3 linked regions of the Drosophila melanogaster genome follow. The protein of the gene in region 1 interacts with the protein of each later gene in a pairwise test. Each region holds a gene or a part of one and is shown in the gene's direction. Other genes may lie near its edges. The genes, in order: Hr96, CG13965 and CG13032.

Evidence for each region.
Region 2: the proteins of Hr96 (region 1) and CG13965 interact in a two-hybrid assay, tested with the Drosophila melanogaster proteins (one large-scale study listed by BioGRID).
Region 3: the proteins of Hr96 (region 1) and CG13032 interact in a two-hybrid assay, tested with the Drosophila melanogaster proteins (one large-scale study listed by BioGRID).

The regions. Positions count from the first base shown.
Region 1 is NT_033777.3:25,018,873-25,030,101, forward strand, and holds Hr96 (hormone receptor-like in 96), read left to right. Parts: upstream 1-6,362; 5' UTR 6,363-6,671; coding exon 6,672-7,338; intron 7,339-7,406; coding exon 7,407-7,463; intron 7,464-7,528; coding exon 7,529-8,352; intron 8,353-9,375; coding exon 9,376-9,585; intron 9,586-9,656; coding exon 9,657-9,869; intron 9,870-9,925; coding exon 9,926-10,126; 3' UTR 10,127-10,479; downstream 10,480-11,229. Other genes in the region: tnc (tenectin), read left to right, coding at 1-2,302, 2,385-2,487; beta4GalT7 (beta-4-galactosyltransferase 7), read left to right, coding at 4,498-4,594, 4,656-5,277, 5,345-5,594; EMC6 (ER membrane protein complex subunit 6), read right to left, coding at 5,663-5,871, 5,928-6,060; Smg6, read right to left, coding at 10,907-11,049, 11,110-11,229. UniProt on the Drosophila melanogaster protein: Binds selectively to the HSP27 20E response element.
Region 2 is NT_033779.5:19,956,433-19,966,974, reverse strand, and holds CG13965 (uncharacterized protein), read left to right. Parts: upstream 1-4,622; 5' UTR 4,623-4,676; coding exon 4,677-4,700; intron 4,701-4,760; coding exon 4,761-5,138; 3' UTR 5,139-5,217; downstream 5,218-10,542. Other genes in the region: Hf (helical factor), read left to right, coding at 1-28; OS9 (Olfactory-specific 9), read left to right, coding at 499-555, 615-1,157; CG10680 (uncharacterized protein), read right to left, coding at 1,694-1,912, 1,965-2,135, 2,200-2,331, 2,394-2,549, 2,610-2,636, 2,694-2,744; CG16772 (uncharacterized protein), read right to left, coding at 3,244-4,149, 4,221-4,250; CG42866 (uncharacterized protein), read left to right, coding at 5,313-5,336, 5,396-5,536; CG34051 (uncharacterized protein), read left to right, coding at 5,949-6,121, 6,194-6,316, 6,382-6,570, 6,625-6,811; COX4 (cytochrome c oxidase subunit 4), read right to left, coding at 7,088-7,224, 7,284-7,695; sick (sickie), read right to left, coding at 9,523-9,642, 9,704-10,183, 10,249-10,504.
Region 3 is NT_037436.4:16,669,318-16,680,546, forward strand, and holds CG13032 (uncharacterized protein), read left to right. Parts: upstream 1-4,646; 5' UTR 4,647-4,830; coding exon 4,831-6,228; intron 6,229-6,284; coding exon 6,285-6,658; intron 6,659-6,716; coding exon 6,717-6,927; 3' UTR 6,928-6,947; downstream 6,948-11,229. Other genes in the region: zetaCOP (coat protein (coatomer) zeta), read right to left, coding at 2,478-2,525, 3,137-3,227, 3,740-4,107, 4,165-4,182; CG43954 (uncharacterized protein), read right to left, coding at 8,499-8,855; lasp, read right to left, coding at 8,862-9,041, 9,108-9,343, 9,491-10,615.

The DNA.
Region 1 (11,229 bases):
AGAAGCCCGAGGACGAGACCAAGGCTGACGAGACCCCTGAGTCTGTTACCCAAGTGTCTGATGTGGCAACATCCACTTCGGCCCCAGTTGCTGGTGGTGACATTGAAAAGGACGAACAAGCCACCACTGCCTCGCCTGAAGAGGAGGAAGAGATCAAGCCAACTATCGCTCCAGCTGCTGAAATTCCTCAACCATCCGAAAAGGAGCCCGTGGATGAGCAAGAAGTGGAATCCGGAACCAAGGCCACTCCAGCAGAGTCTGACGGCCAGCCAATTGATGAAATTGCCCCTGCAACATCTGGACCCATCGATGAGGCTTCCACAGCCGCTCCCACAAAGGAGGAATCCACAACCGTTGCTAGCGCAGCTTCGCCTGCTGTTCACGATGATGAAATTAAGGATGTCACCACTACGCAACCAGTTGCCGATGAGAAGGAAGTGGCTGCTCCTCAGGACGAAACGAAGACATCCATTGATGTTTCCACCGATTCACCCACTGCCCAAGATGATGAGAAGCAAGACAAAACCGAGGCTCCAGTGGCACCCACCACTGTTTCATCGCCGACTGCTGATTCTGCTGCTGATTCTAGTACTCCCACAGTGGAGGTACCATCTCCTGTTGAAATCGACACGAAGCCAATGGATGATATCATGTCCCAGACTATTGCTCCTCATACCGCCGATGGTGCTGCGTCCACGTCCACTGAAGATGAAGACCAGGCTCCCGTTACTGTGTCTCCTCAGGATGCTGAAAAGACTCCAGTTTCCCCGGCTCCCCAGGATTCTGATAAGACTCCGAGCTCAGAGGCTCCCCAGGATGCCGACGAAATCCCAGCTACAGCGACACCTCTTGACGACAACAAGATCCCAGCCACTGTGGCTCCTCAGACTGATGATGGGGTTCCAGCTACCGCAGCTCCTCTTGATGAAGACAAGATCCAAACTACTGCGGCTCCTCTTGATGAGGAGAAGATTCCATCCACAGCAGCTCCTCTTGATGATGAAAAGATTCCTGCTCCAGTTAGCCCCGTTGTTTTCGATGTGGAGCCAAGCAGCGAGAAGCCTGCTGTATCTGAGTATGATGGTGAAGAGAGCACCGAACCACCTGTCCATGATGTGGAGACCAGCACTGATGAGCCTACTTCTGATGCCAAACTGAAGCCACCTACTTCTGCACCTGCTACGCCATCGGAATCTCCAGCCACGGAGGCGGAGATTGTGCCAGAAACTGCAGCCCCAGAGCTTGAAAAGGAGGTGCCAGAGAAGGCCACCGAACAACCTGAGCTTGAGAAGGAAACTCCAGAGAAGGCCACCGAACAACCTGAGCTTGAGAAGGAGACTCCAGAGAAGGCCACCGAACAACCTGAGCTTGAGAAGGAGACTCCAGAGAAGGCCACCGAGCAACCAGAGCTGGAGAAGGAGGTGACGGACAAGGCTACAGAGCAGCCAGAATCGGTCGATGAGAAGACCACTCCGGAGCCAGTCGTGAAGCCAAGCTTGGATTCCACGGAGGAGGATGAAGAGTCCGTTGAGTCCGAGGAGGAATCCGCTGACAAGAAGGACAAGAACAAGGAGACTGAGGAGGATACTGACAAAAAGCATGAGGAGCCTGAGGTACCAGCTGTAGTTTCGGAGATTCCTCAGCCAAGTGAAGAGGCCGTACCGACCACTGGTCACCCACTGTTCCCGCACCTTGCCAGCAGCACCACGACGCCACCAGCCGTCGACGACCGCGTTGGCGAGGAGGATGAGGAGAACACAACTGTCAAATTGAGTAGCTCCACCACCACCAGCACCACAGAGTCTCCAGTGACCAGCGCACCATCGACGACCACGGTGGCCAGCCAACAGCAACAGCCGATTACCCCGCCTCCCTACGGCCACGCCCCCGAGTACGAGGATGAGTACGACGAGGAGGAGGTCTTTGGACCCGGAACATGCCGTTACGCCGGCAAGCTGTACGTGTCCGCCCAGCAGATTCCACGTGACGATCCCTGCGACTTCTGCTTCTGCTTCCGAAGCGACATCATCTGCCTGCAGCAATCGTGCCCGCCGCCAATTGCCGGCTGCCACGAGGAGCCCATCTCCGGCTTCTGCTGTCCGCGCTACGAGTGCCCCGTGTCCATGGCCGCCGTGCTGAACATCACCACGAGCACCACCACCACCAGCACCACCCTGCCGCCCCACTTCCTGCACTATTCGCACGGCGAGGCGGTGAAGCACACCGGCTGCCTGATCAACGGCCGTTCATACCGCGTGGGCGAGCAAATCGAGTCCACGAGCGGTCCCTGCATTAGCTGCACGTAAGTACAATACATCGATGCCACCTAACGCTGGGTATTTGGTATATTCCTATGACTGATCTGCATCTTGTTTCAATTTCAGTTGCGGTGGAGACGGCAAGATGAAGTGTGATCCCCAGCAGTGCGTTCCCGAACCCACCATGCAGCAGGTGATGGCCGCCGTGGTGTCGGGACGCAAGAGATGAACCACCAGCCATGCTCACTAAATATAATTTAACTAATTCTTAAGCACTGCAGACAACAATCACGAACCGACGAACCAACCAGCCCAGATAGCACCACTCGCCAACTAGCAGCAATAGCAATAGCAATAGAAATCATAGAGCCAGGAAACCGGAAACAGAAACAGAACCAGAACTCTTGAAACCGGAAATCCGAAACAGAAAGTCCGGAAAAGCCAATAGCAATAGCAATAGTGTAACCGGACCAGATGCAATAGTGTTAATTTTGGGTTTGCCGACATACGCACTCTATCAATTGGATTACGCCCACTTGTTTCGGATTAGGTTACGGTGACGAAGCAACCAGTGATATTGTACTGTATACATAGTATAGGTGCAATTAATTTAGACGCGCTCACTTAAATCGATTACTTATTTGTATTTGTATGTGTACTAGTATTTTGGGCTTGTGACCCTAGTGACAGGACATATAGCCACCACAGCAGCCGACGTAGCGCGTGCCTTGTAAGGTCGTTCATTGTGCCCGCCGCCATACAATCGCTTTCAAGAGACTCTCAGCACCCCACACCACACTACACCACAGATAGGTAGAGCGAAGATATTTCGGACACGGATCGCAATCAATGGCGTTACGAAGCCACGGCATTCGGCCACCGGATGGGATTCTATACTTGCCCCCTCCGGCGGTTCACTCTTCTCCAATGCGCTTTTATAGTATTTTAGTCACCTTATTTTAAACATTATTATTTTTGTGTATAATTGTTGCTTCTAGTCTTCTTTTGTTGCAAGAGCAACGGAATCCGCCTGTAACACGCGCACAACCCGATCGATCGTATCATATTACATCAGATCAGATTATAATAGATCGTATCAGATCGGATCGGACCAGTTGAATCAAATTGAGTTGAGTTGAGTTGAAAAACTGTATCTTCTATGAACTATTCCAAGCTTTTATACTTTTATATACAAGATACGTGTAGAGTGGAGAAACGAACGAACTAGTTTTTATAGCAATTTTACAAAACGAACGCACGAATTGCATAGTTTTAACGGATTGAATTTGTACTTCGCCCTAGTGCACCTGCACTGGCACCCGTGTCAGGTGCACATGAGGTGGCCAAACCGTAGTCTACATAGAATTTTTAGATCAACTGAAACTGAAACGGAAACGGAAACCGATTACGGAACCGGAAACACACTGTCGGCCATCGCTACTGCTCGACTGATTGAAAATCGCACCGATCGCAGAGAGGAGCTATCTTTGTAAACTATTTTTTTTAACTACCAGCTGCCGCGCTGGTCATTACTTTATTGGTCATAGAATAGAACGAAACGAATGGATCTTCAGTCACTTGAGCCTTAGCAATGCGCCGAAATCTTCAAGCGCTTGAATCGCGCTGAATGAATACGAACATCAATTAGTTTTATATAATCTCTAACTATAGTTGTAGCCCTAAGTATTTAATTTTAAAAATAAATAAATAAATTTTAATTTAGATCTTATTTATTTGATATGTCTTTTAAGAACAGCTCTTGTGTTTCCATACCTTATCATAATTTATATGCAGCTATTCTTTGTAATCTAATAAATAAATACAACGCTTTTTATTGAAATGTATATCTGGAGAGTGTTTTGTAATTAAAGTGGTCATTTTGGATATCCTTTATACACTGCATACACAAATGTGAAATGTTCTTAGAAAGAGACAGGGTTTTCAATGGCTTTCTTCACAGAACCAATGGTTTGATAAAATAAAGGTTAGGCTCTATATTAAAGTAATAGATTGCTCGTTAGTTAAGTTGAAATTTTAAAAAATCGTTATAGCTCACCTTTTAAAGCGGGAATTTCGATGTTTTCCAATCGAGCAATCGAATATATTTCTACGTTATGGTATTTTTAAACGGTTCATCAGCGGGCACACTTCCAACCGGCAGCTAAAAAGTTTATAATATTTTCCGCCTATGGCCCGACTTCGTTCAAACCACTGGACTTCTGTATAAAAGCGGCTCCAAATGGTGAATATATCCACCATAAACTGGGTCTTCGTCTGCGGCCTGTCCTTTTGCCTGGGCGGGATTGCGGTGCTCAGTCTCATGCCATTGGGATCAGGTGCGTCTGCGAAACATGAACGCTTGCTATAAATACTGATCCGGAACCGCTCTTTTAATAGACTGCGTGTGCCCGCTGTCCAATCCGCTGGCCAAGCTTGCCGGTGGCGGAGAAGGTGTATCCGTGATTAAGAAAGAGCCAGCCGATGAGAAGCAGCCACAGCCACATGACCACGGTGCGTCCGTACACAAGATGGCACTGCTGGTGCCGTTTCGAGACCGATTTGAGGAACTCCTCCAGTTCGTCCCCCACATGACCGCCTTTTTGAAGCGGCAGGGCGTGGCGCACCACATCTTTGTGCTGAACCAGGTGGACAGGTTCCGCTTCAATCGCGCCTCTCTCATCAACGTGGGTTTCCAGTTTGCCAGCGATGTGTACGATTACATTGCCATGCACGACGTAGACTTGCTGCCCTTGAATGACAATCTGCTCTATGAGTATCCCAGCAGCTTGGGACCACTGCACATCGCCGGACCGAAGCTACATCCCAAATACCACTATGATAACTTCGTTGGAGGAATATTACTGGTGCGACGCGAGCACTTTAAGCAGATGAACGGCATGTCGAACCAGTACTGGGGCTGGGGATTAGAGGACGACGAGTTCTTCGTGCGCATCCGGGATGCAGGACTGCAGGTGACGCGGCCGCAGAACATTAAGACTGGCACTAATGATACATTCAGGTGAGACCAGTGCTCCGGATTTCGCAACTAGACGTGACTACTAATAATTATTGTCATTCAACCTCAGCCATATTCACAACCGCTATCATCGTAAGCGGGACACCCAGAAGTGCTTCAACCAGAAGGAGATGACCCGCAAGCGGGACCACAAGACGGGCCTGGACAACGTGAAGTACAAAATACTTAAGGTGCATGAGATGCTCATTGACCAGGTGCCGGTGACCATCCTCAACATTTTGCTCGATTGTGATGTTAATAAAACGCCTTGGTGCGACTGCTCCGGAACGGCAGCGGCTGCATCGGCGGTACAAACCTGATGGGTTGTGTTAAACCAAAGATCCTATGTTTATTTCGCTATTATAGTGTGTTGTATTGTATAAATGCGCTAATACACGTGCACCATGCCATAGAGGAATGTCCAGAAGAGCACGTAGGTGCAAAGGCCGCCCATGAACTGATTGGTCAGCAGATTTCTGCGGTTAATGAAAAACTTGCGCCACTGGGTGCCCGATTTCACGAGCACCAGAATCCAGAGCACGAACACGGACAGGAAGTAGAAAAGGAATCCCAGCGTACCACTCAGGCCCAAAATACCTGCGAATTGGTGGGACATTAACTAAGTTGGTTCACCATCAATTGGAGCCAATTACCCGCAGCGCAGCCCGAGATGGCAGCCATCGATGTGCGACAGTATTCCACGGCGGATATGTTGTTCCGGATGGCGCCCTCGCTGTAGGCGATTATTTCGCCAGTCTTGGACTGCGTGGTCTTCACTCGATTCATTTTATTTAATTAAATTCTACTTTAATTTCTAGCAAAAATATTCCTAGGCTGTGAACTTCGATTGTGTGCCGATTGTGTTATCGATTGGTGCCGATAACTATGCACTGTAAAAATTCACTAGCGGTTTTTGCAGGATAAATAGTTTTTGTAAATTTTCCGAGATAAACTTGACGAGCTGTTTAATGTTAAATAATGAAGTTTAATACAATATCAAATATATTTGCTGAAGTGTATATTTATTCTCACCGCTCTGTGCTTCGATGGCTCACAATTGCGTTTGCCATTCGCCCGGGCACGTAGATTGTTGTTATTGGGATTGGCCTGGAGCACTCGGACGGACAGTAATTCATTAAAATATGTGGTGATAACGCGAGCTGCCGAATCTGCGTGCAATTCGTGCGTTTGACGTGGGTACTAACTGCTATGCTGTCGCGCGGACAGTTGTTCTGATACGCAGAGTTCCTGCCTCACCACACACGACCACCTCCATTAAAACCAGCCACCCCCCCCAGCGCCTCCTCCACCGACAGCAGCTGCTCCACCGCACCACCAGGAGAGGGGCAATTAAAAAATCAATCAGAGGGCCCTAATTGAAAGCTGCCACCGTCGAAATGTCGCCGCCGAAGAACTGCGCGGTGTGCGGGGACAAGGCTCTGGGCTACAACTTCAATGCGGTCACCTGCGAGAGCTGCAAGGCGTTCTTCCGACGGAACGCGCTGGCCAAGAAGCAGTTCACCTGCCCCTTCAACCAAAACTGCGACATCACTGTGGTCACTCGACGCTTCTGCCAGAAATGCCGCCTGCGCAAGTGCCTGGATATCGGGATGAAGAGTGAAAACATTATGTCCGAGGAGGACAAGCTGATCAAGCGGCGCAAGATCGAGACCAACCGGGCCAAGCGACGCCTCATGGAGAACGGCACGGATGCGTGCGACGCCGATGGCGGCGAGGAAAGGGATCACAAAGCGCCGGCGGATAGCAGCAGCAGCAACCTTGACCACTACTCGGGGTCACAGGACTCGCAGAGCTGCGGCTCGGCGGACAGCGGGGCCAATGGGTGCTCCGGCAGACAGGCCAGTTCGCCGGGCACACAGGTCAATCCGCTTCAGATGACGGCCGAGAAGATAGTCGACCAGATCGTATCCGACCCGGATCGAGCCTCGCAGGCCATCAACCGGTTGATGCGCACGCAGAAAGAGGCTATATCGGTGATGGAGAAGGTAATCAGCTCACAAAAGGACGCCTTAAGGCTGGTGTCGCATTTGATCGACTATCCAGGTGGGTGCAGACAAGATTTCATCGTTTAGCCTTATCCGCTCACCTATGAACGACTTGAATCTTTACAGGCGACGCACTCAAGATCATTTCAAAGTTTATGAACTCGCCCTTTAACGCGCTGACAGGTTAGAGTTTTAAAATTTGTGGTTTTAAACTTAATTTCACATTCCTTGTTAATTTAAATACGCAGTATTCACCAAATTCATGAGCTCACCCACGGACGGCGTTGAAATTATCTCAAAGATAGTTGATTCGCCCGCGGACGTGGTGGAGTTCATGCAGAACTTGATGCACTCGCCAGAGGACGCCATCGATATAATGAACAAGTTCATGAATACCCCAGCGGAGGCGCTGCGCATTCTTAACCGAATCCTAAGCGGCGGAGGAGCGAACGCAGCCCAGCAGACAGCAGACCGCAAGCCATTGCTGGACAAGGAGCCGGCGGTGAAGCCTGCAGCGCCAGCGGAGCGAGCTGATACTGTCATTCAAAGCATGCTGGGCAACAGTCCGCCAATTTCGCCACATGATGCTGCCGTGGATCTGCAGTACCACTCGCCCGGTGTCGGGGAGCAGCCCAGTACATCGAGTAGCCACCCCTTGCCTTACATAGCCAACTCGCCGGACTTCGATCTGAAGACCTTCATGCAGACCAACTACAACGACGAGCCCAGTCTGGACAGTGATTTTAGCATTAACTCAATCGAATCGGTGCTATCCGAGGTGATCCGCATTGAGTACCAGGCCTTCAATAGCATACAACAAGCGGCATCGCGCGTAAAGGAGGAGATGTCCTACGGCACTCAGTCTACGTACGGTGGATGCAATTCGGCTGCAAACAATAGCCAGCCGCACCTGCAGCAACCCATCTGCGCCCCATCCACCCAGCAGTTGGATCGCGAGCTAAACGAGGCGGAGCAAATGAAGCTGCGGGAGCTGCGACTGGCCAGCGAGGCTCTTTATGATCCCGTGGACGAGGACCTCAGCGCCCTGATGATGGGCGATGATCGCATTAAGGTAACCAACAGTCCACGGTATTAGCCTATAGGTCTTTCTACATTTATAGCTCCAACACCACGGCTTATCTAATCAGAGTGTGCGAGCTGCGATATATGTACACACGGCACCTGGCACTTTTTAGCCATTCGGTGATTCAGTGCGTCTCTCGATGTTGGCCCACGGGCCGTATCTTCGTCAGCCAGTTTCTGGGTTCCCAGCAATGCTCGCCTACCAAATGTAAACACACTTTTTAATGGGGTGGCTCAAAGTTTTTGATTTCCCAAGAGCTTTGGTCGAGTAAAAGAAAATTGATCGAACCAGATAAGCTATTTTCCCCCAGAGGGTTAAAGAATTTGAAGTCATGCGACTGGGTCTAGTTAAGATATTTGATTACGAAAATTGGCCTTTAATTAAGACCCTAAACGTGACAAACTTCCATTCTATATACTTCTTGATGAGTATTTAAACAAATATGGCTATTTTCGGAACAAATCGGGCACTCATTTATATCTTTAGCTTTATCTTTATTTTTTAAGATGTGTCCACACCTTTGATCGACCTCTAGTTCCCCTGGAGAAATGATTTGGAATTATCCAATAATGATTCATCACTTCCACGAATTGTTGTCCCATTAATCGAGCCACCCTAGCTTTCATGCAATCAGAACGTCTGGTCTGCCAAGAAGGAGCAGACAGCGGCTTTATCAGCCTCTGGGCGTGCCAATTGTGACACTATCAACCATTATCAAGAGTACCAGCAGGCGCTCATGAGTCTCCAGCCAGCCGTCGATTTGGGCGTTTATTGTCGCTTAGACTGTTTACCGATTTTGCCTCATCGCAATTAGCACATTTCAGTATTGTTAATTGGGAAAAACGATACAATTTTGACGAAATATATGGAGCAGCCAGGTGTTGGGCGCTATGATAAGCAGTGCTCCGCCATTCGATTGAGTCACCTTCCAGGGAGAAGCCTTTACGATTATGGCGATAATAATGGCCACCTGTTCGTTCTTTTCCATTTTGTTTGTTTTGTGAACCACAGCCCGACGACACTCGCCACAACCCAAAGCTATTGCAGCTGATCAATCTGACGGCGGTGGCCATCAAGCGGCTTATCAAAATGGCCAAGAAGATTACAGCATTCCGTGACATGTGCCAGGAGGACCAGGTGGCCCTACTCAAAGGTGGCTGCACAGAAATGATGATAATGCGCTCCGTAATGATTTACGACGACGATCGCGCCGCCTGGAAGGTACGTAGCCTTAATTAAATAACTAAATATTCTATTAGACTGATATGATATGATACAATGTGCTCCTACAGGTACCCCATACCAAAGAGAACATGGGCAACATACGCACTGACCTGCTCAAGTTTGCCGAAGGCAATATCTACGAGGAGCACCAAAAGTTCATCACAACGTTTGACGAGAAGTGGCGCATGGACGAGAACATAATCCTGATCATGTGTGCCATTGTCCTTTTTACCTCGGCTCGATCGCGAGTGATACACAAAGACGTGATTAGATTGGAACAGGTGAGTAAGCACTTGATACCATACTGCAGTATTACTAACTTTCTTTCATTCGATAGAATTCCTACTATTATCTTCTGCGAAGATATCTGGAGAGTGTTTATTCTGGCTGTGAGGCGAGAAACGCGTTTATCAAGCTAATCCAAAAGATTTCAGATGTGGAGCGTCTGAACAAGTTCATAATTAATGTCTATTTGAATGTTAACCCATCCCAGGTGGAGCCCTTGCTGCGTGAAATATTCGATTTGAAAAATCACTAGACAACCGATGCGTGTCGGGCATTTAATGCCTATGTTGATGCCCAATGATGAATGGTCAACAAGCTGTAGTTGTTGTTGTTGTTGATGTCTGTTTTATCTTGTCGCTTGTAATGTTAGATTTTAATCGAATGTGATTGTTAGATTTGCATATACTGCATAGATTTTATATTTCTACATCAAAGAGAGCATATTTAGGATACCAAGTGCAAAGCAACACAATCTATATGTAATGTACACCGTTTACCTAGTTTCAAATAAACTAGACGATAATGCAATAACTAACTTGGAAGCGTGGGTTCTGTGCAAAAAGGAAAAAAGACAAAAAAAATAAACTGACTTTGAGAACCAGTGGTAATAAAATGTCTCGTATTCTTTTCTACTCGAATGAATTTCGAACCCTCCAGGACAAATTACGCAAACGAGTGATTTTGAACAACAATCCAAAATAATTTAATTCCGAAAGTCACAAAATAAAAATTCGAAGTAGGAAAAAACAAATAAGATGTTTGGAAACCAACGAGAGATGTGCTTCGTTAAAGCATCAACCCGGGGAAACACCACAGCAACCGCGCATGTGTACCCGCGACCAGTCCTCAGAAATCCACGTCGTGTACGTATCCGCAGCCAGCGTATGTGTCCGCATCTGCCGACCCCGTCTTACATAGTCATTTATGTATAATGTAGGTAATATAATAGCTCGAGCTCGCTCCGCACCACCAATGTGCGTCGTGCAAGTCCATTCCAATTGTTATCCGGTCCACTCGCCGCGCAAATCGGCTTTCAGGTTGATTCGCGGCAATCCTTGGCCCATTGCAGAAACTCATCCAACGCGCTGACGGCCAAATTGCGAGAAAGAGCCTTCACACGCAGATTACGATCGGTTGTAATGAGCACCAATTCCGTTTGAATGAAACACTTGCCATCTGCAAAAGAGTTTTAGTTAGAAATGCTATCAGGAAGGACATTTAACGGAAGCAGCTCACCTGTGCATTGTTCGGTTTTTGCCGTTTTCGAGACAGCCATTGCCGTTGCCAGAATCTTGTCGTCATTGGACAAATATTCCTCCTCAACTAGGGCAAACACCGATGCATTGACAAACGAGC
Region 2 (10,542 bases), on another chromosome or scaffold:
GGCCAGTGGTATATGGACGAAGGCTTAAGATTAATAGCTAAATATTTAAACAATATCATAGAATTAGAAAGTGTTTGTAATAAAATGAGAAATGTACTTCAAAGAACAATATTCGGAATCTATTTATACGAGGACTTTATTCCTGAAAAATGCCGTTTAACTTCCGGAAAATTTCCGACTGTCTGATCAACATGTGTAGATATCGAGAACTGATACTTTAAAGCAATAAAGATATTATCGTGACTTGGAACTATATACGACTTTGTAATAACAAAATGCATGGTTTCCACTACCCACTAATTAATATACGAAGGGGCAGCACTCGTTCTTATCACGCTCACCGATTTCTGAAGTCTGATTACAGTCTATACGTTGTCTCACGATCAGTGGGTATTCATTACAGAGGAGGCGTTCTCCCATTTTGTATAAAAATTGTGAATTTAAGAGAGGGAATATAAAAGGAATCAGTTCGATAGAGACTAGATACAGTTTCAAATCATGGCCAGCAGACTAACTTGGACTTTTCTAGTCGCTGTAGCTGCCCTCCAGCTTTCGGTAAGATCCTTAGATTTGCTTATATCCTTTTGGAATCAACAGAAACCTTTAACTTTCAGCTTGCAGCGCCTCTCATTAACAAATGGCAGTTACAATTCGAAGTGTCCAATGAACTCTTTCAAATGGTAACAGACGCCATGGAACAGCTACGACATGTCTTTCAATTGGTCATCGACGAGGCCGAACTCATTTTACCACCAAACTCCAAGGGACACATTCTCAGGGAGCTTAAGGACTTCGTCGCGGCCTTGGACACCCTGGACTTCGATGATTCATTCGAGCTGAACAGACTGGAGGATGCTCTTGAGGAACTGGAAAGCATCATTTCGATTGCAGGCAGCAAAGAATTCGAATCGGAAGCTGACGAGGTTGTCGTTCAGCTATTCATACAGCACGGAGTTGAGGACCTGGAGCAGATCCTGGAAAGAAACTTGGAAACTACTCTGAAAATCGTAGAGCAGAAGGTGGAGAAATACATGAGCACATGGTCCGACAGTCGGTTGGCCAGGAACGCGGCGATGGTCAAGCAGTTTAATGACTTTAAGAACGAAAAGGATGTCTATGAGAAGCTGGACAAGTTAACCAACTCTGATTTCATTTGAATAAACATATCATGTTTCAAGTACATTTAAGTTTAAACCAAATAACTACAGATACATAGTCCGAACGTATATATTATTTCCAGAAACTGCCTTGCAAATATCAAAACCAGTAGTCCAGAGTTCATGTTTTGTATTAGCACGCTCGCCGGAAGCTAAAATTTGATTACATATTGCAGCTGATTTAACAATCAATGAGCATATAATAAATACGCTAGTAAGTGTTTACTACTTAGTGCAGGTATGACGTAAGAAATGTGGAATTCATTTTACAAAGGTATTGAATACCTTAATATACCTTTTTTAGATTTGTAAGCTGTCAGGTTTCAATAGCTTTGAAAGTTTTACTGACTTTCTATTCAATACAATTGTTATTTAGTCTGATAAATAAACCGTGCGGAAAGTAAAATAACTGATTATTTGTAATGCCAAGAATCTTTACATTACACACAGACAAGTCAGTATAATCTCTAGCAGCCTTAACTAGTTGTTTTTGAGAACTCGGAACTTTCATTCATCAGCTTCTCTTAGGAAAGGTGTTAAAAGTTGCGATAAGATGATCCAAATCCATCCCGCGAGTCGAACACATCCCGCTCGATTTGGGGAGGTCCTCTTCCATCCGATGTGTAGCTATAGGATTCGCTCCGGTAAAAGTTGTTAGAAGAGCCCCCGGAACCAAGGGGACCACTTCTACCAGTCGGAATACTGGAACCACCGGCGATAAGGGGGATAATGGAACCACTGGATGGCATAGGTACCTGGAGAAGGTGTATTAGTTTTTTAGTTAGGAAAACGATTGCACAAGATTACCGGTCGAGATACAAAGGTTCCTAAGTTTTGATTGCGGAATGGGGAGTCAGGAATTGGTCGAATGCCTCTGCCACGGAAATCCGGGGAACTGGGAAAAGGTCTGTTGTCGAAGCCGCTGCCTCTGGGACCCACATTGTAATCGGTTTGGAATGCATTGTCATAGTTGGGTTGCTGAAATAGTTCAATCGTCAATCGGATTGTAATACTATGTGTAACTACTTATAAAAACACTTACACGAATGGGGAAACCGTTGGATCGGGGAGGGATCTGAGGATAAAACGGTCGAGGTTGGAAGGGGATAGGTCGGAGTGGAACGTCCTCCTCTTCGTAGGTGTCGGTCACCTCCTCCACTTCACCGCTAGATCTCTTCAAGGATAATAAATATATATTTATTTCCATTTATATTAAGTGTATTGGATGAGACTCACCTCTAGAAACTCGACATCGTTATTTGCTTCGGCCAGGGCAGAGCTGTTTCCGCCATTTAAGGATGATCTATTAGAAATAGGTTTGTTGCTCGATTTCGGACTCACTGGCTTGAAGAGATGCGTGGGAATGTTGATAGTTTCACGAGGCACCCTTAGCTGTGGATTATGGAATATTGCAAAGAAGATACTATCTAAATTGTTTGCTAGCAAACTTACCTTGGGATCCGGCAGAGTGTGGCATATCTGAAAATATAGAACTCATTGAAGCCTAAATTGTGGAACAAACCGATGAATAGTTACCCCCTGAGCGATGAACAGACAGCCCAGCAAAACGAATTGGAGCGGCAACATCTCGCAGATCTCGACTGACACTCACGTCTCGAACTTCCGACGATCGACAGAACTATGAGTTGACTGGGTGGAATGCGCTGCAATTAAATGCAACCACGATCCCAACCCGTTCGACTGGAAATCACCAAGGTGAGAGCGTCGGGGCCCGGGGTTATCAGCCTGGGGATTACACGATAGGGAAATCAGAAGCCCATAACTCAATCTCATATGCGCAAATCATCAATTATCATTTTCCCGAATCTAGGAGCCTTTAACTTACTTACTAGTTCTTAATGCACCGAAAGAAAACTCCAAGCAGTCCCACATTCAGTGAAGAACCTTGTACTCAGATTTACACGATCGAAAGCATTAAATATTATATGCAAATATTAAAAACTCATGAAAATATAATCTAAAAGTTGTTTATTGTGTTAGGAAGTACATTTCAAGATTGAAATAAAACTAAGATATTATTGACTATCTGGACTCGGAGATTTTTCACAGTATTTATCGGAGAGTGTTAGTAGAGTCCGTAGCCGTAGGGCGAACCATATCCGCCTCCTGGACGCGGAAAGCTGGGCACAGAGATCACTGGTCTTCGGGGAATCAAATAGACCTGCGGGTAGCTAAATCCTGGTGGCTTCAGAGCCACATCCTCGTCCTTATCCTTTTCACCAGACTTGTCCTTGGGCTTATCTTCGCCGGAGTCTTCTTCGTGATCGTGATTGTGGTTGTGGGGGTATCCGAAACCGGGACTGGGAGGTCCGTATCCTGGGAAGCTGGGCCAGTTACGAGGCTGAGGGAACACCTGGGGTTGGTAGGGCGAGTACGGTGATCTGAAGGTCGGATAGGAGGGATATCCAGACAGCTCCGGCGATTCCTTGTCCGCATCTTTGGCAGTGGGCGGTGTGGTCGATGGAGGAGTAAGCTTAGGTCCCGCGGCAGAGAATATCACTCCTGGATGGGGGTAGGGATACTGAATGGGGTAGGGATAGGGGTGAGGATGCGGATAAGAATGGGGATGAAAGTGGGGCTCATGCTTATGGGGCTTTGGCGTTGTGGTGGTGGTCGTCGTAGGGGTCGTGGTTTCCGGTTCCGGAGTGGTGGACTCTGGAAGCGCAGATCCATCATTGTTTTGTTGCAAGCCATCATCCAGTTGACCCAGTCCGTCATCGGGAGCAGCGGTGGCCTCACCCTCCTGCTCTATTGCGGGCTTCGTGGTGGTTTCTGGCTTTGGAGTTGTGGTTTCCGGCTCGGGAGTGGTGGTGGTCACCTTCTTGTGGGGATGATGAGGCTGATATTGGGGGGGCAGGTGGGGCTCCGGCAGATGCGTATCATCGGTAGTCTCCTCTTCGCTGTAAAGCGAGGCATCGATTTGCTTTTTAGCCTCGTCGAGCGACAACTGAGCGTAACTCAGCGCCAGCAGCTAGAATTAAAATGTATGTTAAGTTAATCATAGTTCGAGCCATTTTGTCCTGGCCAAGATCTGGCACCAACCTGGCTAATTAGAAGCAACTTGATGAACATCCCAACCGACTGAGTTCAACTAGCAAGGGCCAAGCGAAAACTGATTGTTCTCTGCCGGCCATAGCTGACTTATATAGCTCCAGAATCGCCCACCATTATGGAAATCGGTAAGCCAACAATTACAGACAGCCCCAGAGCAATCAGCTCTCTATCTCTCTCGAAAAACCCGATTGGCATCAGGTGTTGGATGCGTCTGCCGGAATTTCCCGGACTGCGTTCGCAAATTAAAGATCGCCATCTATCAGTTGGTCACTAAGAGAATTAGTTCTGCCCGCAGAACCAGGCAGCGATTCCCGCAATCAATTTAGAACTGCTCCAATCGATTCCACCTGCGCAGCGACTATAAAAGGTGGCTTTGCCCAGTCGGCGCTTCTGGTTTCGACGCAGTATAGGTACACATACTATGTGTCAGGTGTGACGATAGGCATGGCGAAACTTGAACTGAAGCTGGTGAGTGCCAATGGGGCATTCCCTCATTATTGCACATAATCGAACGTTTCTTTGTTCTAGATTGGAATCGCTATATTCTTGGTAGCCGCGCTCGAGGCTCAGGAAACCCCTGCGGCTGAATCATCTCCAGCGTCCCCAACAGATGGCGAAACGTCTCCAGTTACAGAAGCCAGTTCCATCGGAGAATTAACTCAGACCACAGAAGCGGGGTCGGAGGTCACAGAATCACCAACAAATAGCACCGATATGGTTAATAGCACGGACAACCCAGACCCGAACGGCTCGCCTGACCCTGAAAATGGAGGAGATCCATTTGTGAAGCCAGGAAGCCATATAAAGGGACCTCGACACGTTAGAGCACATGATGGCTTCCACAGCCTGAAGACGGAGAAGCATTGGGCAAGCTGGAACGATGCCTTTACCACGCCACGTCCCTAGCTCATATGTATATCCCATTATACCCTTTCGTTTTGTGACCAATCTCTGAAGATTATTGAATAAAAAACTAAATAATTTTAATATATTCCGTCGAAATTCGGGAACACCCTATGTGGTTTTACCAAGAACTTCACAGATGACGAATTGAATTAGTCGCCAGTCTATTGTTTCCCAATGCGGTTGATTTTTTTCTGCTTGGTAAGTAGAGATAAAGAAATAGTAACATTTTTATCGTATATATTATATTTTCACATCAGTGCCTCTTTTTGTCCCTGGAGCTAGTAGTGCCCAGACATGTCGTGGGCCACGATGGATACCACAACATCGAGAAGGAAAAGCGCTGGAAAAACTGGCCAGCACGTGTGAGGCACCACCATAAACAACGTAACTCCATCTGATGTCCGACAAGGTTGGGATTGCACGCGATTACTTATGGCCCGTTGCAAAGTCGTTCACAGGGCCATAATGCCTCGGATCTCGCCAGACAATGGGAAGCGGAAGCCTTGTTCATCATATCAATGGATCACTGCTTAATTGAACATTTCCACTGTTCGAATGTGTAAATAATAAATTGAATCGCATTAATTGTTGCTATCCAAGCGATATACATTTCAAATGAGGAGAAATGGATTTTATAAATATAAATTGACCCTTTCTTTAGAATGAGTAACCCCCTTTTAAAAATATGTTGTTTTTTTTTCTATTTTGAGATAAGTGACTAATGGGAAATCGATTGGTTCCATAATACATCTCAGCCCACTTAATTGTGATTTAACGTATAAGTAATTTGTCACTCCACAAACTACAGCCATGGGACCAAGGCTCTATCCCGCTGCGATCCTCATCCTCCATTGCCTGCTGTTGCTCTTCCTCCAGGTGGACAGCAGAGGTAACCAGAACCACACCCAGATGGAAAGACAGCGTCATCTCCGAGCACACAATCTGCACAGGCCTCCATACGATGGATACGATTGGCACAAACAGTAAGATACAGATTCGATCGAGCTGAAGGATATATACACTTTCGAATGGCACCAACCTTTCGCTTTCAATAGCTTTAACCGAGATGCCGAACCAAAGGCGACAGTTGCAAAGGAGAAAGAAGAGAAGACTTTCAAACACAGATCAGGACATTTAAAAAAGATGAAGCAGACAGCTAGGGATATTTCGAACTGGAGGTAGGTGCATCATCTGCATCAAGTATGAATGCTCTGAGATCAAGGAATGCCTGACTTCTTTTCAGCAGAGCTCGGAGCGCCTACCAAAAAGAGACGGCAGAGCTGGAGGAATGGGGTCGAAAGAAGAATATAACTGACAACGAACTGAAGTTATTCTTTGACGGTGAAATTTCTACCAAAGACAAGTACAGATTATTTGGGGACATTCAAACGGTTGTCCAGATCCTGAAAGAGGTGATAAAAAAGGGAGCTGTGTAAGTAGTGTTCGCCTATATGTCTGGCAATGCCTTTGAAATCCGCCTTTTTAGGACCGAAAAAGAGAAAGCAATGATAACGCCGGAACTGAAACCATTGATCTTAAGATTCGGCCGCATGTTTGAAAGGGAATTTGCCAAGAACACAAATGCCTTGGAAGCCTTGCAGATCCTTGTTCATGAGGTTCAAAAATCGAACAGCCGGAACATGAGACATAAGAGTGCTAAAAGGTCTCACTAAGTGGTAATTAAATTGGCTATGCCTGTGGCGATTTTAGTAACGAAAAGTTTGTAATCTACACACTAAAAGGTCTGTTAATAAATCGAATAACAATCATTGCTCTTAAAACGGATCATTGAGGCTGGTTTCCTAGCAGAAACTGATGACTGACCCAAGATCGATTGATTTAGGCAGCAGCCATAACTTTAATTTCGACTATCTTGCTTTTACTTAATACACATAGACGTCGGCTAACTTAATCACACACAATCGCGGAATTATTTAACGACAGCGCACTTAGTTCTTCCACTTCTTGTTCTCGTAGTCCCACTTGGAGGTCAATCCGGTGACGGGGTTGATTTCCAGGTCGATGATGCGCTGCAGCTGCGCCTTCTGGTGCTCCTCATCGAAGGTAACGGGCAGCTCATCGTACACTGAAAGGAAAATGCTCAATAATGGATAGCCGCAAAAGGGAACCGGAAAAATGGCTTACCGAAGATGTTCATCAGTACGGCCACCCAGATGGCGGCGGCGCAGAAGAGGAGTGAAACGCCCAGGTGGAGCTTCCACTCCCCGGATCCAGCCTGGACCTCGGCGATAGTCTGGCAGAAGCTGGCGCGGTACAGGGCCTTGATCTCCTGGGTGCTGAGCTTCTTCCAGTCTCCCTGCTCCTTGGCGCGCAGAGCGTTGATCTCGTTGGTGGGCTCACGGAAGCGCACGGCGGGCAGAGGGTAGTCCACGCGATCCGCGTAGCAGGCGGTGCCGTTCCAGCCGTAGCCAACGATCTCCCGCTTGCCGATCTTGTCCAGTGTGTGGACGGCGGCCACGCTGCCCACCTGGGCACTCTTGGGCAGCTGAGAGGCCAGCTGGCGGAGCACAGCACTGTTGAGTAGTCGCAGGGCCATTTTCTCACAGAGTCTGCAAGGTAGTAAAATGAATATCAATTTATGAGGTATCAGCAGAGGAACATAGGGTCTTGGACCCGCGATAGCCAAATTTCCCACCCGACCAGGCGGTCATCCGTGAATTCTAACGGGTTACGAATTCACCGATATATGGTGCCCACTTAGTTGGAGGTTATGTAACAGCTAGCAGAACTACGTGCCAAGTTATAGAATCTATTTCCATAAAAATCGCATTGTTTTGAGGTTCCTCTACGCCTGTCGCCATATATTTATCCCGATTTCGTGCTGTGTTTGGCATAATATCCGCATAATTCTCCCATTTTTCACAGCCATCACAGATGTTGTGTAATCGGTGGGCGGTTGCATCTACCGGAAAACGGCTTATAAACCGGTGGCAACTGGTTTTCCAATTTATGTCGGCTTGCTTATCCCGCTCGTTGTATTCAATAGCTTTGTGGTCGCAGGTACTTGATATTTTTCGCAATTAATACAATTTTTAAAGCACTTTTACCTACTTTTCTTAGACTTGCTGAACAATGTGACCAGAGGGAATATACAAAACAAAATATATATATGGATGGGTAATTATTGCTCGATATTTTGGTATTTTCATGCAGAGAAGTGTGACCACATCTCGAATGAAAAAATATAAATATTAATATATCGATATATTCAATCGCTAGCAATCGGAATTCGGCGGGGTATTTAAATCTAAATATATTAAAATAAAGAAACAGCAAATAAGGGCAACTATTATGTTTTATTTTATTTCGCAGCATGGTGAAATATTTGGTTTGGTATTTCACATTCTTTTTGTAGTCTGTCCGCGAGAAGAGAAACAACAACAAAACAATTATTGTTCGATATTATATTTTATTTTGATTTGATGTCATATCTCATAAATGCACACATTTAAATTAGACAGAGACACATAATTTGCTTTATCGTATCATATAGTTTGCTGCTTGAGTTTGTATTACATAAGATTATCTTTCGATAGGGATCTGGAGTTCGGAAATTTAGCTATTTTATCGAGGATGGGGCATTACGTATTCACTTTCGCGTATTCCTGTGTTTAAGCGCCGCTTGGCATAATAAATATGTTAATGGTATTTTGCTTTATTGGGCTTTATAAATATGCAATATGTTTGTAACAATATTTAATGATAATTACGCAAATAATTAAACTAAAGTGAAAGCTTTTTCCTTCAACTATACATCTTGTAAATTGGTAGTAGCAAAAACTTATAGCTACATTTACAGTAGAGTTAGGTATTAGTTGCGATTTAATTCATATGATCCGCCGACTCTGGGCTGGGATAAAGGGTATAAAAAGTCTAGACCGTCGGTCAGATTCACACTTAAGCATAGGGGGGACTTGGGGTTAGTTTTCATCTATATGTACAAAAATGAATTCACTCGTCTTATCTCTGTAACATTTCATGTTAGTGAAGTTTCCTTTTCTCAAGATTTGGGTTTTTCGGAAACGCAGCCGGGGTCCTTGCTTTTTGGGATGGTAGTGCTTCGTTATCAGGTTCAGTTTGTGGCTAGGACAATTTGCATTTTTAACAAGTGCGCTAAAAAGTGCAATTTACTCTAGATGGCAGGGAGTGGCTAGAAACGATGATTGGAAAGGTTGGTGACGTGGTGCAAATGGAAAACTCTTGGAACTGCTTTTGAACCTCGCTGCGAAAGTAGTGCAAGAAGTCTCATTTGTGCGGGGGCAAGGATATCTTGGGTGCATATCTTGGACCCTCAGCTGGCGTACTCCTCTCAGTTAGTTCATCTAAATTTGGCATGTACGAAGTGGTTGGTTTCTATAGCTGTTCACTCGGCTCCAGCGGAACTTTCGGGCGTAACATTCGAGTCCAGGCTGGCACAATCGGACTCCTGATCCTGGGCCTCCGAGTAGTTGGCCGCCTCCTGCAGGCGCATCAGCATGTTGAGCTGTTGACGAAACGCCTCATTAGTTGAAAATCAAAGGAGCAATATTAGTCCTGTATCTTACCAAGGGATCCTGTTGGTCACCGTTGGTTAGGGCCACGCCTTCGAGTCCCACATCCTCGGCATTGATTTGCCGTAGTGGAGGCACTGAGTCCGGACCGTATGGCCACGGATAGGAGTTCCTAATGAAGGCGGAGGGGTCGTTCCAGGCACCTCCTCGTCGTCCATAGAGCTGAACTCCCTCGCGCACCGCCTCCACCAAGTATGGCGAGAGGTGGTAGTTCCAGATGTCGGTGAACCACACCTGCGAGTCCTTCAGGTCCATTGGGCAGGCGAGGAATAGCCTCGGCCCAATGGTTACATCACTGGAGCTGTGCACCTCCAGGAATCGGTTGATGTGCTGCCAAACGGAGGGCAACCAGGCCAGCACTGCCGCCAGCTCCGGCTGCGGATGTTGCGTCTGCAGTTCCAGCTGGAAGAGTCGACGCCTCAGGAAGCGACCCAGAAAGCCTTTCACGGGCTCCATGTGATTAGCTGTGAGCACCTGTGAGCAAGTGATAAAGCAAATATGTAATGATCCAATTTGTAAGGTCCATCATCAAAACATACCCATCGGAAATTGTGGTGCAGCTGCAGGTTGGTGGTGTTGCAAGTGGCCTGTGACATGGTGCCAATGATGCAGGGCAGCTTGTTGGCGGGCCCAGCGCTCAGGAGACAGGAGAAGACGTCGCCCAAGGCGGAGGCGTGGTGCAGGTTGTCCAAAATAATCACAGAGGGAAGCTCGGAGACTCCATTGGCAATGGCAGCCTGCTCGGCAATGTGGCCCAGATACTGTCGCAGATCCTTCGAGGACTTGTGGTCAACACTAAGGGAAAATGGAAATGGAGGAGAAATAGTTATCAA
Region 3 (11,229 bases), on another chromosome or scaffold:
GCGAAAAGCGAAAATTTTCCTACCCATTGAAGGCCATAAAGTCGATTTTATGGAACGGGCCCCCTCATTCGATATTAGCTTCACTTACTGGGTAATGCGGGCATGATAAAAAGTAAGGAAAACCAAAGCAGTCGCCTTCACTTCGCCGTAATTCGTTCAGTTTCAATTAGTTGGCACGTGAAGAGTTACTACTAATGAATTTTGCGGAATGGAATTTAAACTATTTTGTTTACCACAGGCGAGATTGAAATTCAGCGAATTAATGGCAATCGTTCAAAATATATATGTACACACCCGAAAAACAAGTCGCCAATCATTTCCCAGTATCAGTCGTGATTCGATTCGATTCGATTCAACCTCTCCAGATGTTGTGGGTTTCCGTTTCAGTAGACAAGAATCCGAAGTCAGGCGCACAAATCGTATGACTGACTGAATGCCAAATAGTCCTCTCCCGAAAATACCAGCGCGTTGGCATTATATAAATCTGATGGGGCTGGCGATCGGGATCGTAAATCTTAATCCGATTGGAACCCATTTTTTGGAACGGTGGCGCTAATCATGTGGAACCTCTTTCTGTGCCCAAGTAATCTCAATCTTCCCCCTGATAGTGCAGGAGTATACTTGAGAACCCGATATTGGGTATAAATTAATGGGGTAACTGTACTTTAAGGTGGCATGGGGATGTACTTTGCTTTAAATGATCTAATACCTAAATATGTTAGAAGTTAAAGTATTTCCAGAAAAAAACGATTCAACTTTTTCCATCTTTTATTCACGACACCTAATCTATATATCATTCCGAACGTATTTCAAAAAGAAATATAGGTGTTATATTAGCTGAGTAGAAGAACCCATGAGATCCTATCTGTGATTCGAGCAGCCCCTGTCATCACCCAACCACGTAAGCAGCTAATTCCGGGGACGTTGCGCCTTTGCCAGAATTCCTGAACGTGATCCCGGGCAATCCATCCATCAAGTGCGGTACCGATACCACAGCTCCTACGGCTGATAGATATGTACATATAGCTGTGTACTTTACTTACCTCCCCAACTGACTCCCCCCACTTGGGTGTTATTTGTCTAATTCGACAACACAGAAGGCAGATAAACGCGAGGCGCTTAATTTTGCAATTGTTATTGTTTTGGCTGCAATGTTGACAAGCATTTGATTAAGGAACGATGGGTAAACGGGGGTGGATGTGGATGTGGGTGGATGGATATATCAGTGGGAGCGGAGCACGTCTGCGGTTCATGGGTGGTGTACGTTGGATGATGGACGAGCAGCAGGTTGAAGTTGAATGATAGCATGTTGGCCATGCGATCGAGAGGTGGGAAAACAAGTGAATCACAATTGCTAGCTGTTTGTTTTTTATTGTTTGGTTAGATATTAAACGGAGTTACGGAATAAGGCAATTTAGAGAGATGATATGTAAGTCCCCCAATTGAACAAGTCTTCGTTAATTGCCCTCTTTTCCTGCAACGCAGAACTTCATTTCATAACTAAAGCTTTTAATAGCCCCATGCGATGGCGAAGAGGTAATCCATTTGGTTGTAATGGCCATAAATCAAACAAATATGAGTTTAAGTGCCAATGCCCTTACATTGAGTTTGCCAGAAAACAAAGCTGTTGAAAGCCGTTTGGAACTGCTTCTTCAAATAGAACTTTTTTATGCGCCCCCCTACTATAAAGATGTTGAGATTATCGGTGCTTAATCGCTTAATAATTAGCACTGCCTCGTAAAGAGACTTTAATACCCTAGCACTCCCAGTTTTAGGTGCCACTTCAGGCCAAGTTGCTTGGACACCAGCTGGTCACGTGGGTTTACGACATACTTTATCCTCGTATCTGGAGACAAGTGGTTTCGATTTACCCCATCTGCATATGATTGGTGATTGCGCTGTCAGTTGCAACATAATGCCTGCCTGCATTATCTTATTGTAATACTGACCGATCTGCGTTGCGTTGAATGGGTCAGTTCTGGCATTATATGGCTACTTGCGCTACTTCATCGATTAAGCAAAATAAGAATTATTGTGGACTTCAGTAACACCATAAAGTTCTGCGATAAGCCATAGCAGCTCGATAGCAACGAACCTGGGAATACTCTTTAATACATTCAGTATTAGTCTGGAAAGTCTTCAAAGCTTTTATTAGATTTGCCTAAATACAGTCCTTGTTTATTCAGGTGATTTCCCTTATCTAAGAACTCGATTGCATACCACGCACAAAAGATTTATAGTGGCGCAAACGGAACTTGGCAGCTCCAATCGCCCGTCGGTGCCTTTGGCTACTCTATGACACACCGAGTTAGTAGTTTAATGCTAAATTAAAACATGCAGTGCTCTCCAGTTAAATGTATGTATTATTATATGCTTTACAACTAGGCGAAAACAAGTGGGCGCTAAAAGAAGAATCGAATGTATTGCGACAACGCGGCACGGAAGTGGCTTCCTCTCTTCCGCCACCCCATTTCACATCACTTCAGAATGGACCATTTGAGTTGTTCACGTGCCGATTGCAGAACCTAAAAGATAGATAGCACACACATATATAGATACAGATACTCGGCAATAATTTCGATCAATTAGCTAATGAAACAAATCAAAATGAGCGCGAAGTTCCAGAACATTTTCACCAATTTTATTTTGAACATTCTCGGAGTACAATGAATGGGGCGATATGGGGAAAAGTAATCGAAATTCGGTAACATGTACAAAAGGTAAAAAGAAATTTACGCCGACACAACTACTTTAAATTGTAATAAGTAATATTATCTGGAAGCATTCATTAAAATAGGTACAATTTTACAACATTTAAACACTTTTGTTGAAACTGAAAATAGATCGTAATTAAACAAAAATGCGAATAACAAATAAATCTAGGCAAATGTGTAAAGCTTGTAAACTTATATTAACTCAGTTACTAACTACATATAGTCTTGAAAAACAAAGAGCCTAATTATTTGTTCATAGGGCGGGTAAAACTAAATGAGAATATATTTGACTGCAGGGTATCAAATTGCGAAACGAAACCAGACAAAATTAAAGTACAAACGGCTACCATTGAGTTATAAACACTTAGAAGAGCTACCAAGTAGTTAGACTACCAAAATAGACCATTAAGGGTGTTAGTTACCTGGGCAACGGTCTGTTCGGCAATGGGAATGTCATCGTTGCGCAGATCAACGCGTTTCACCACCGACGAGGGATCCGCATCCAGAATAATGCTATTTGGAAAACGGGTAAAGGTTTAAATAGAATATTTGTATTTAATAATATGTAATGCATAATATACAGTGATGAATGGCAAAGTATATCTTTTTGTACCTCAGGTGATTTCTAAAGCTCAGCCTATAAACTTAAAAACTTATACGAGCTGCATGCCTAGGATGCCAGTGCTCGTATGTATTAGTTTAATCTTTAAGTTTAATATATTTTAATATTTAGTTTGATTTATATAATTAAACTTTTGTACCTATACCCTAACATCGCAGTTATCATATAACTTTTCATTGGACTTGACTAGGTTTTGTTAAAAAAAAGGAAGCTTTAAATGCGGTTAACTACTTAGAGGCTTCACTTGAGCTGGCCTAACTCATAGACTAGTAAATAACAATGTTATTTATGGGAACTTGTGTAGTAATAATTTGATGTTTTCTAAACGAACTGCTGCTAATGAAAGCTGCTTTAACTTGGTCCCTTGTTCTTTCCATCCATCACTGTATACGCTAATACACACCCTCCGTCGCAGATCTCGTCAAATGCCAGCATGATGATCTCCAGGTTTTCCAGCACCAGGCGCTTCTCAACGTTCTTCTTGAGGATCAGGCTAATGGAATCGTAGAGGCAGTTGAGCACGGACAGCAGGATGAGCTCGTTCTCGTAGGCGTTGCCCATCACGTAGAAGAAGAGGTCCACGTTGCTCTTGTACACGCAGGTGAGTCCGTCCAGCATAATGATCTCCGTGTTGGAGCGGTGCGTCTTATTGAACAGATTCTTTTCGAAGGCCTTCTGCTCCTTCAACGTGGACAGGATGTTCTTGTCGTAGTACTTGGCCAGGATGCGGTTGCCATCGTTGTCCATGATGCACATGCCCTTGATGATATCCTGCAGCACATGTTGGGTTTGATTTTAAGCCAGTTACTTGTGTATTTTGCAATTTACCATCATAAATCCGTCCATCTTCACTTGTTTTCGTGTCTTACACGTCACTTTAGTATGACCATATTGCGACCGCTAAATTATACCAACTAAACAGTACTGCCAACTCGAGTCACAAAATAAATAGCTAGATACAGTTAAAACTATCTAGAAAAACTGTTAAAATTTTTGAATTTTAGCTAAGCCGTTATCGTTGTTTTATTATTATATTTTAAATTATAATTTGAAACACATGGGGGGCTGGCTTGCTTGACGTTGGCCGTACTTTGCTGGGGTATTTAAAATAAAATAATGTAAATGTAAAAAAAGAATAACGGTTTAAATGTAAATTATCCTGTCTTAAATAAAACAACAGTTTGGAAAGATCAAGAAAAGAATTGTCAATGTCAATTTTATTATTGCAGAAACTCTGTTTATTTTTAACTTACCTATTATTGAAGAAATCCTGATTATGACAAGAGTTCCAAATTTAAAAATTGCCTTGCCTTTGATTTGTCTGTTTCAAATGAGGTTTAAATTTGAATAACCTAGAAACAACTGATGACAACCAAAATTTGTGAATATTTTAGTAACAAGAACAGGCACACGTACAAATTATTTTCGCCCAGCCAACGAAATTGTTAGATTCAATTGTGTATATTTTTATGTGAACAACTAGAGGGCATTGCGATGGAGACTTTGCCGGAAGAGTATGTAGCCCATCGGGATCAGGAGCTGTTGGGGTGCAAAGTGGGCCGTTCCTCTCGACGTCGGCATGACCATGATGCCATGGCCGCTGCCCATGTGGTGCTGACCACCGCTGTGGTAAAACCAAAGCCAACAAAGCCGGAGTCCAAAAAGCTGCGCAAAAAGCTATCCGAATGCGAGCAGGAGAAGCAGTCACTGGCCCAGGCCATTCATGAGAAGAATCAGGAGATATCCGACCTGAAGAAATCGGTTGATTCGCTCAACGAGGTGCTCAACTCCGTGCCCATTGATGAGCTGCGCTGCAACTCCTCCATTGCCAGCACCAAAATCCTGGAACTGAGCAAGAAGAACCGCCAGATGCGTTCCGAATTGGAGCAGGCAAAGAGTCGGCTGGGTAAAAAGGATGCTCAGATCGAGAAGCTGGAGAAGGAGCTGCGTGCGCACGAGGAGAAGCTGCAGCATAATCAGGATCTGCCAAAAAAGGGCTGCTCCCCCGATGAGCTCCAAGCCAAGATCAACAGTATGCAGCAGAAGCTCTTCGAAACGCGAAACAGGAACACCGAGCTACAAAGCCAACTGAAACTGGCCCAAAAGTGCCTGCAGCACGAGATCGGTGAGAGCTGCAACATCAACATCCTGGCCAACAATCTTAATCAGGCCAATTGGCGCGGTCGTGCTCAGCAGATCATCGCGCTCAACCAGAAAGTGCACGAGCTCAAGGCTCGCTTGGATTTCTACGAGGACCGAGCCGTAGATCGAGCCGAATATGCTGCCCCAGTGCCGTTGGGTTCGGATCTGGAGTTGGTAACCGGCAGCTGTCGATCACATCATGCCAGCTCTGAGAGATTAGGTGGAGGCGATGGCGGCGGAGCCACAACGGCCAGCTTCGATCGCTTTACACCGGGTGTGCGTAAAAGTGAGATTCTTCATCGAGCCAAGGTGGAGGCTCTGGAAAAGGAGATTCTTAGCCTGCAAAACCAACTGGAGGATCAACGCAGCAAGACACTCGCCCTAAAGGTGAGGAACAAGAATCTGAACGAGGAGATGAACAAGTACAAGATTCTATACAATGAGCTGGAGGAGCAGACCGACTTCAATGGCACCAATATCAATACCATGAATGACAAACTGAACCAGCAGAGGATTCAGTACGAGAACCGTTTGGACGACATGCGCGGCGAGCTGGTCCGGGTGACCGAGGAGCGAGATCTTTCGCGCCGGCAAATGGAAGAGCTGAGCGGTATGCATCTGGAGCTGCAGACGGTGGTCAAGCAGAAGGATGTGGCCATGGCCAGTCTGCAGGATATGATCAAGAAGCTGGAAATGGACCTGCGCGCCCTATCCGGCGGATTCCTCTTCTCCTGCCGCGAGTTTCGAAAGGTAAAACTCTGTACACTAAAACATAAGCTATTAATTTGCTTAATTATATTCCGCAGGAGGAATTTGTGGGCATCCTGGATGCTCTAGAGGTGGAGAAAAATCAGCTTATGTTGCTCACCAAAACTCTAGGAGATCGTCTGGAGACGGAGAGAGCCAAGAACGAAGCAGCTCAGGAGCAGATTGGCAAGTTAAAGGCCCGTATCAGCCGACTGGAGGTCAAGATCAGGGACCTGGAGAAGGAACTCGATGTGCAGTCCGATAAGAAGAAACGCACCCAGCGAATGGCCGACTACGCCAGTTCGCTGAGTCGCACTTCTCTTAACGGATCGATTGGTTCCTTCTGCTTCGAAAATCAGTCCCAGTACCAGTCCACAAATACGCTGAATTCGGCAGGACAGCCTGAGCCCAGAATAGAGGATCTAAAGAATAAGTAAGTTCGGACACGGCAATCCCATCGCTTAATCAACTATAACTACTTATATTTTCAGTCTTGAACTGGCCAAGGAAAAAATCACAATGCTGACAGAGAAGCTGGAGTATATCACCGAGGAGAAGAACGCAGATGCCAAATTTTTCGAGGACACCATCAACAGTACGAAGACCATTATCCTTGAAACTGTACTTGGAGCTCGCGAAAAGGGATTGAGCGATCGTAGCAAAAATGCAGATAAAAGCACGAGCGAGACTTCCATTCAATAATGAAGATGAACAAAACCACGATTTTTATTTTGATTAGTTTTTATGTTCTTTGCAATGCTAAAAAAACTGGACGAGAAGTCATGCCATATACATATTTATATGTAACTGGAATGTTATTAAACTTGCATGGCATTGCAATGCACATCATTGATTCTGAAGTACCGAAAACAATGAGTTTTAAATTTTCATAAATTTTTATTTGATTTGTAACACGTTCACAAAACGAAGCCTTTGGCGCTGCTTCTATTTCAGGATAAGATTAGATTAATTCAAGTATTTGTTAGGTGATTTCTTTCCACTCGAAGCATTTCCAATTGCATTATGCCTATATAATTGTTATTAATTGCTGTCTATAGCTATGCATGTGTGTGTGTGTGTGTGTGTGTGAGTGTCTTGTAAGTTAAGTTAATAATACATTATATATAGCTTGACTTGCCATAGAAAAACGATCCTGCAATCACATATTAAATTAGTTTTAGTTGCCGTTTGTAAATTGCTTCATTATTTGCGTTAGAAATTCGTTCTCCATTGCTCGCGTATGGTATGAAAATGTATAAGTTACAGTATAAGTATATTTTTTTTTATTGATTCTTTAATGCATTATTATTGATAAGCCTAGTAAATTGGTTTTATCTAAAAAACACGTTTTAGCAAATTAAAGGCACTTTCAAGGATTTCTTTTGTGAAACGAAACGATATCTCCACCTTATTCTCTTTCTTCAATTTAACACTAGAAACAAACAATATATAATTATTATTCTCTTAACAAAAATATTTATATATTAAAAACATGAATTTCCCCCGCAAAAACAAGAACAATATCCTTCAAGTCCTCCTCGTTTACACAGATAAATTGACAAAATTGTAGGGATAAGGACGCGATCAGAATCCGAGTGGATTGCTGCTAATGCGAAAAGCTTTCAGAAAGCCGAAGAAAACTCGGGGGAAATTTGTGTTAGCGCTATTGCCCCGTGTAAGTATTACTTTGAGAACTTCTAATTAAATTAGAAAACCTTTGCCTTGGGATTTTGCTATCCACAACATGTTATGCTGAAGCACTTTAGCTAATCGAATTGTTTATAGATATCCGTACTTGTATATGATTGGTAAGCTATAGTGTACGATTAGTTGGTTAACGTTTTGTATATTCTTCAATAAATATCTGTATAAATTTGATTTATTAAGGGCTGTAGATAAATGCAAACTTGGCTGGGTTAGCTTGGTCGCTCAATTTCTTATTGGAATCGGTGCAGATATATGTTCCGCTGACATATATTAGCCGATTCATAGCTGAAACACATTCGACTCTCTGGCTGATTTCTCATAACTCTGCTGTGGCTTTGTTTATTTAATAAGATGGATATCGGATTGTTGGTTCTTGGTTGGATTACTAATAAATTTAAAATTAATTAATTAATTTCCCTCTTCTCTTTTTACATAATCCGCTGCTTTGCTATATATAGTATATATATATATATATATATATCTATGTATGTAGTGGATGCAGTATAAGTTAATGCACTAAAAATTTAAATTTTGGGCTGTTGGTTGGGGCGTGTGACTCCTCCACATCATCGCCGTCGCCGCCTGAATACATGATTAAAATAGTAGTAAATGTCCTGCTCGGCTTGCTGCTGCGGCGTCTTTTTGGCCAACTCCTGCTGCTGCTTGGAATCCACTTGCGGATGGTAGTTGCTGTAGTGGTTGTAGCCATGCATGTCGTACGGATTGTGGTGACCCGGATGCATGCCTGCTGGCGGAGGGATTCCTCCACCTCCGCCGTGCCGACCGTTCCTCATCATTAGATTCGCGTGCATGTTGCGATCCGCGATAAAAACGTTGACGAAGAAGGCGAGCACGAGCAGGATGTAGAGCAGGCAGACGAGGATCACCACAAACTGCTGGCGGCAGCAGCAGTAGTAGAACATTCCCTATTATATAACCGCCTGCTCCACGTAGTTGGCGGGCAGCATGCCGGTCTTGCCGGTACGCTCCACACGTCCGGTCATCCAGCCGGAATCGATTGACTCCACCTCAAAGATGACGTCGCCCTCGCGGAAGCTGACCTCGTCGACGTCCTGCGCCTCATAGTCATAGATGGCCCGATAGACGCGCTAAAATATGGGACATATAGTTAAAAATAACTTTGTAATAAACAATAGACAGCCAACAAAACTTACCATTGCTGTGCTCTGGCGCGATTGTTTTTCCTGCAGGGAGGAGTAGGATGGCTGCTGGCGCATCTGCTGTTGCTGCGGCGGGTGCTCCTGCTGCTGCATCATCTGTACCTGCTGGTAGTACTGCTGGTGCTTCTGCTGCTGGTGAGCCTGCTCGGCGGCGGTGAGCGATCCGTAGATGCCATTGGCCGGATCAATATCGGAAACCGAACCAATCCGCTTGGGGTAAACGCTGTTGCCTGTGAGGACATAAAAGTTCTGGACATTAGTTCTGTTTAGGCTACATATCTACTAGCCGGGGACAAGGACAAGATGAGTGTGTAACATCGAGCTGAGCGCGCACTATCACTACCTCGAACTACCAGCTAGCCTGCTCCGTAACTTACCACCTTGATTGCCACGTGGCTCGGAGCTGTAGACCAAAGTGGTGCTGGACCGTCCGGCATTGGGCACCACCCTTGGTCCATCCGTCAGTGGATCGTAGTCCGCTATCTTCCCGATATTGCTGCCGCCTGCCACGTGCTGTTGCTGCTGGTTCGGCATATGGCCATTGCTGGCGTGCTGCTTAACGTTTATTGAATTCTCAGATGGAGTCACAGCGGCGTAATTGGGAGACGCGTATAATTGCTGCAGGTGATTTTGGGCAGCTCCTGGGCCGGCTGCCACTTGTTGCTTGCTATTGCCATCGTAGGCGACGACACTGGCCGCCGAGCGTCTCATTTGTGGCGGCAACATTTGGTTCTGTGAGCCGTGTCCATTATTATTGATGTTGCTGTGGTGGCTGTGCGAAATGCCGCCGTTGCTGGCATTGTTGTTCAGTAGGCTATGATGGGATTGCTGCTGTTGGGCAGCCACCAGCGTGGGGTTGGTGCTCTGCTGTTGCGGCTGATGTTGCTGCTGCTGTGGCTGGTCGTACTGATCCACGGAATTGCCGCTGGGATGATGCGAGTTCTGGAGTATGGCCGAGCGCATCTCGTTGTAGCTGTTGAGCGCCTGCTGCTGCGGATTCGCCGGCGACTGTGGTGGCGGCATCTGTTGCTGCTGGGATGTTGCTGTGGGATACAGATGTGAGGCTTGTTTAATGGCTTGCTGTTGCAGCAACTGTTGTTGCTGCTGTTGTTGTTGTTGCTGTTGCTGGCGCAGCGCCTGCGGTTGTTGGTAGTGTGCATAGGGATCGTGCAGTTGCTGCTGCTGTGCCCGCTGTTGCTGTTGCTGTTGCTGTTGCTGTTGAAGTTGTTGGTATGTGGGCGTTATGGCCGCTGTGTTGTATTGCTGGTGTTGTATGGGTGGCGGTGGCAGAGTCTGTTGCTGCTGTTGCAGATAGTGTTGGTGTTGGTGTTGCTGCTGCTGCAGTTGCTGCTGATGTTGCTGGTACTGCTGCTGCTGTTGGTGTTGCAGCTGTTGTTGTTGCTGGTGTAGTGTTGTCGCTGCTGGCGGTATGGGTGAGGCTGTGGGTGCATATTGCGAGAATTGTTCAGCTGCCAATTGCTCTGAGAAGTATTCCGATTCATCTTTTCGATTTTTTCGATATTTATCGATTTCGAGGTGACGATTAATTAGTTGCACCATTGTCCACAGTCGTTGTTGTTAGTGTGGATGTGTGTGTGGTGTTCGTTTTGTGTGTAACGTTAGGTTAACGGTAGTTCAGAAAGCACACAAATAATGTTGTTGATTTTATTGTTGCAGTTGGTTGTTGATGGTGTGGGATAAATGGCAACAAATGATAAACAAAGTCCACAACAAAATAAAAGGAGAGAAAACAAACCATAAAAAAAACGGCATTATAATCAATATTAATTACACAATGTGACAGATGTGATGGAAATAGATACAACATAGTTAGATGGACAGTGCAGAAGTTCAAATTCAGACACACATGCCACATGCATGTCCACAAAGTAAAAGTACAGTGGATACAAAATAAGGTAAATTAAATAAAATAATAGAAAGGAAAGAAAGAAAAAGGAATTTATACTAAAATTCCGTATTTTTTTTTTTGAGGGGTGGTAATTTTGAGTGACATTCAATGTATATTTAAATGTTTAATTCAATTAACAAACAAATCAATAACAATCGCTACACAAGTTCTTTGTAAGCTGGCTTTGTAATTTTGTCGTGACCATTT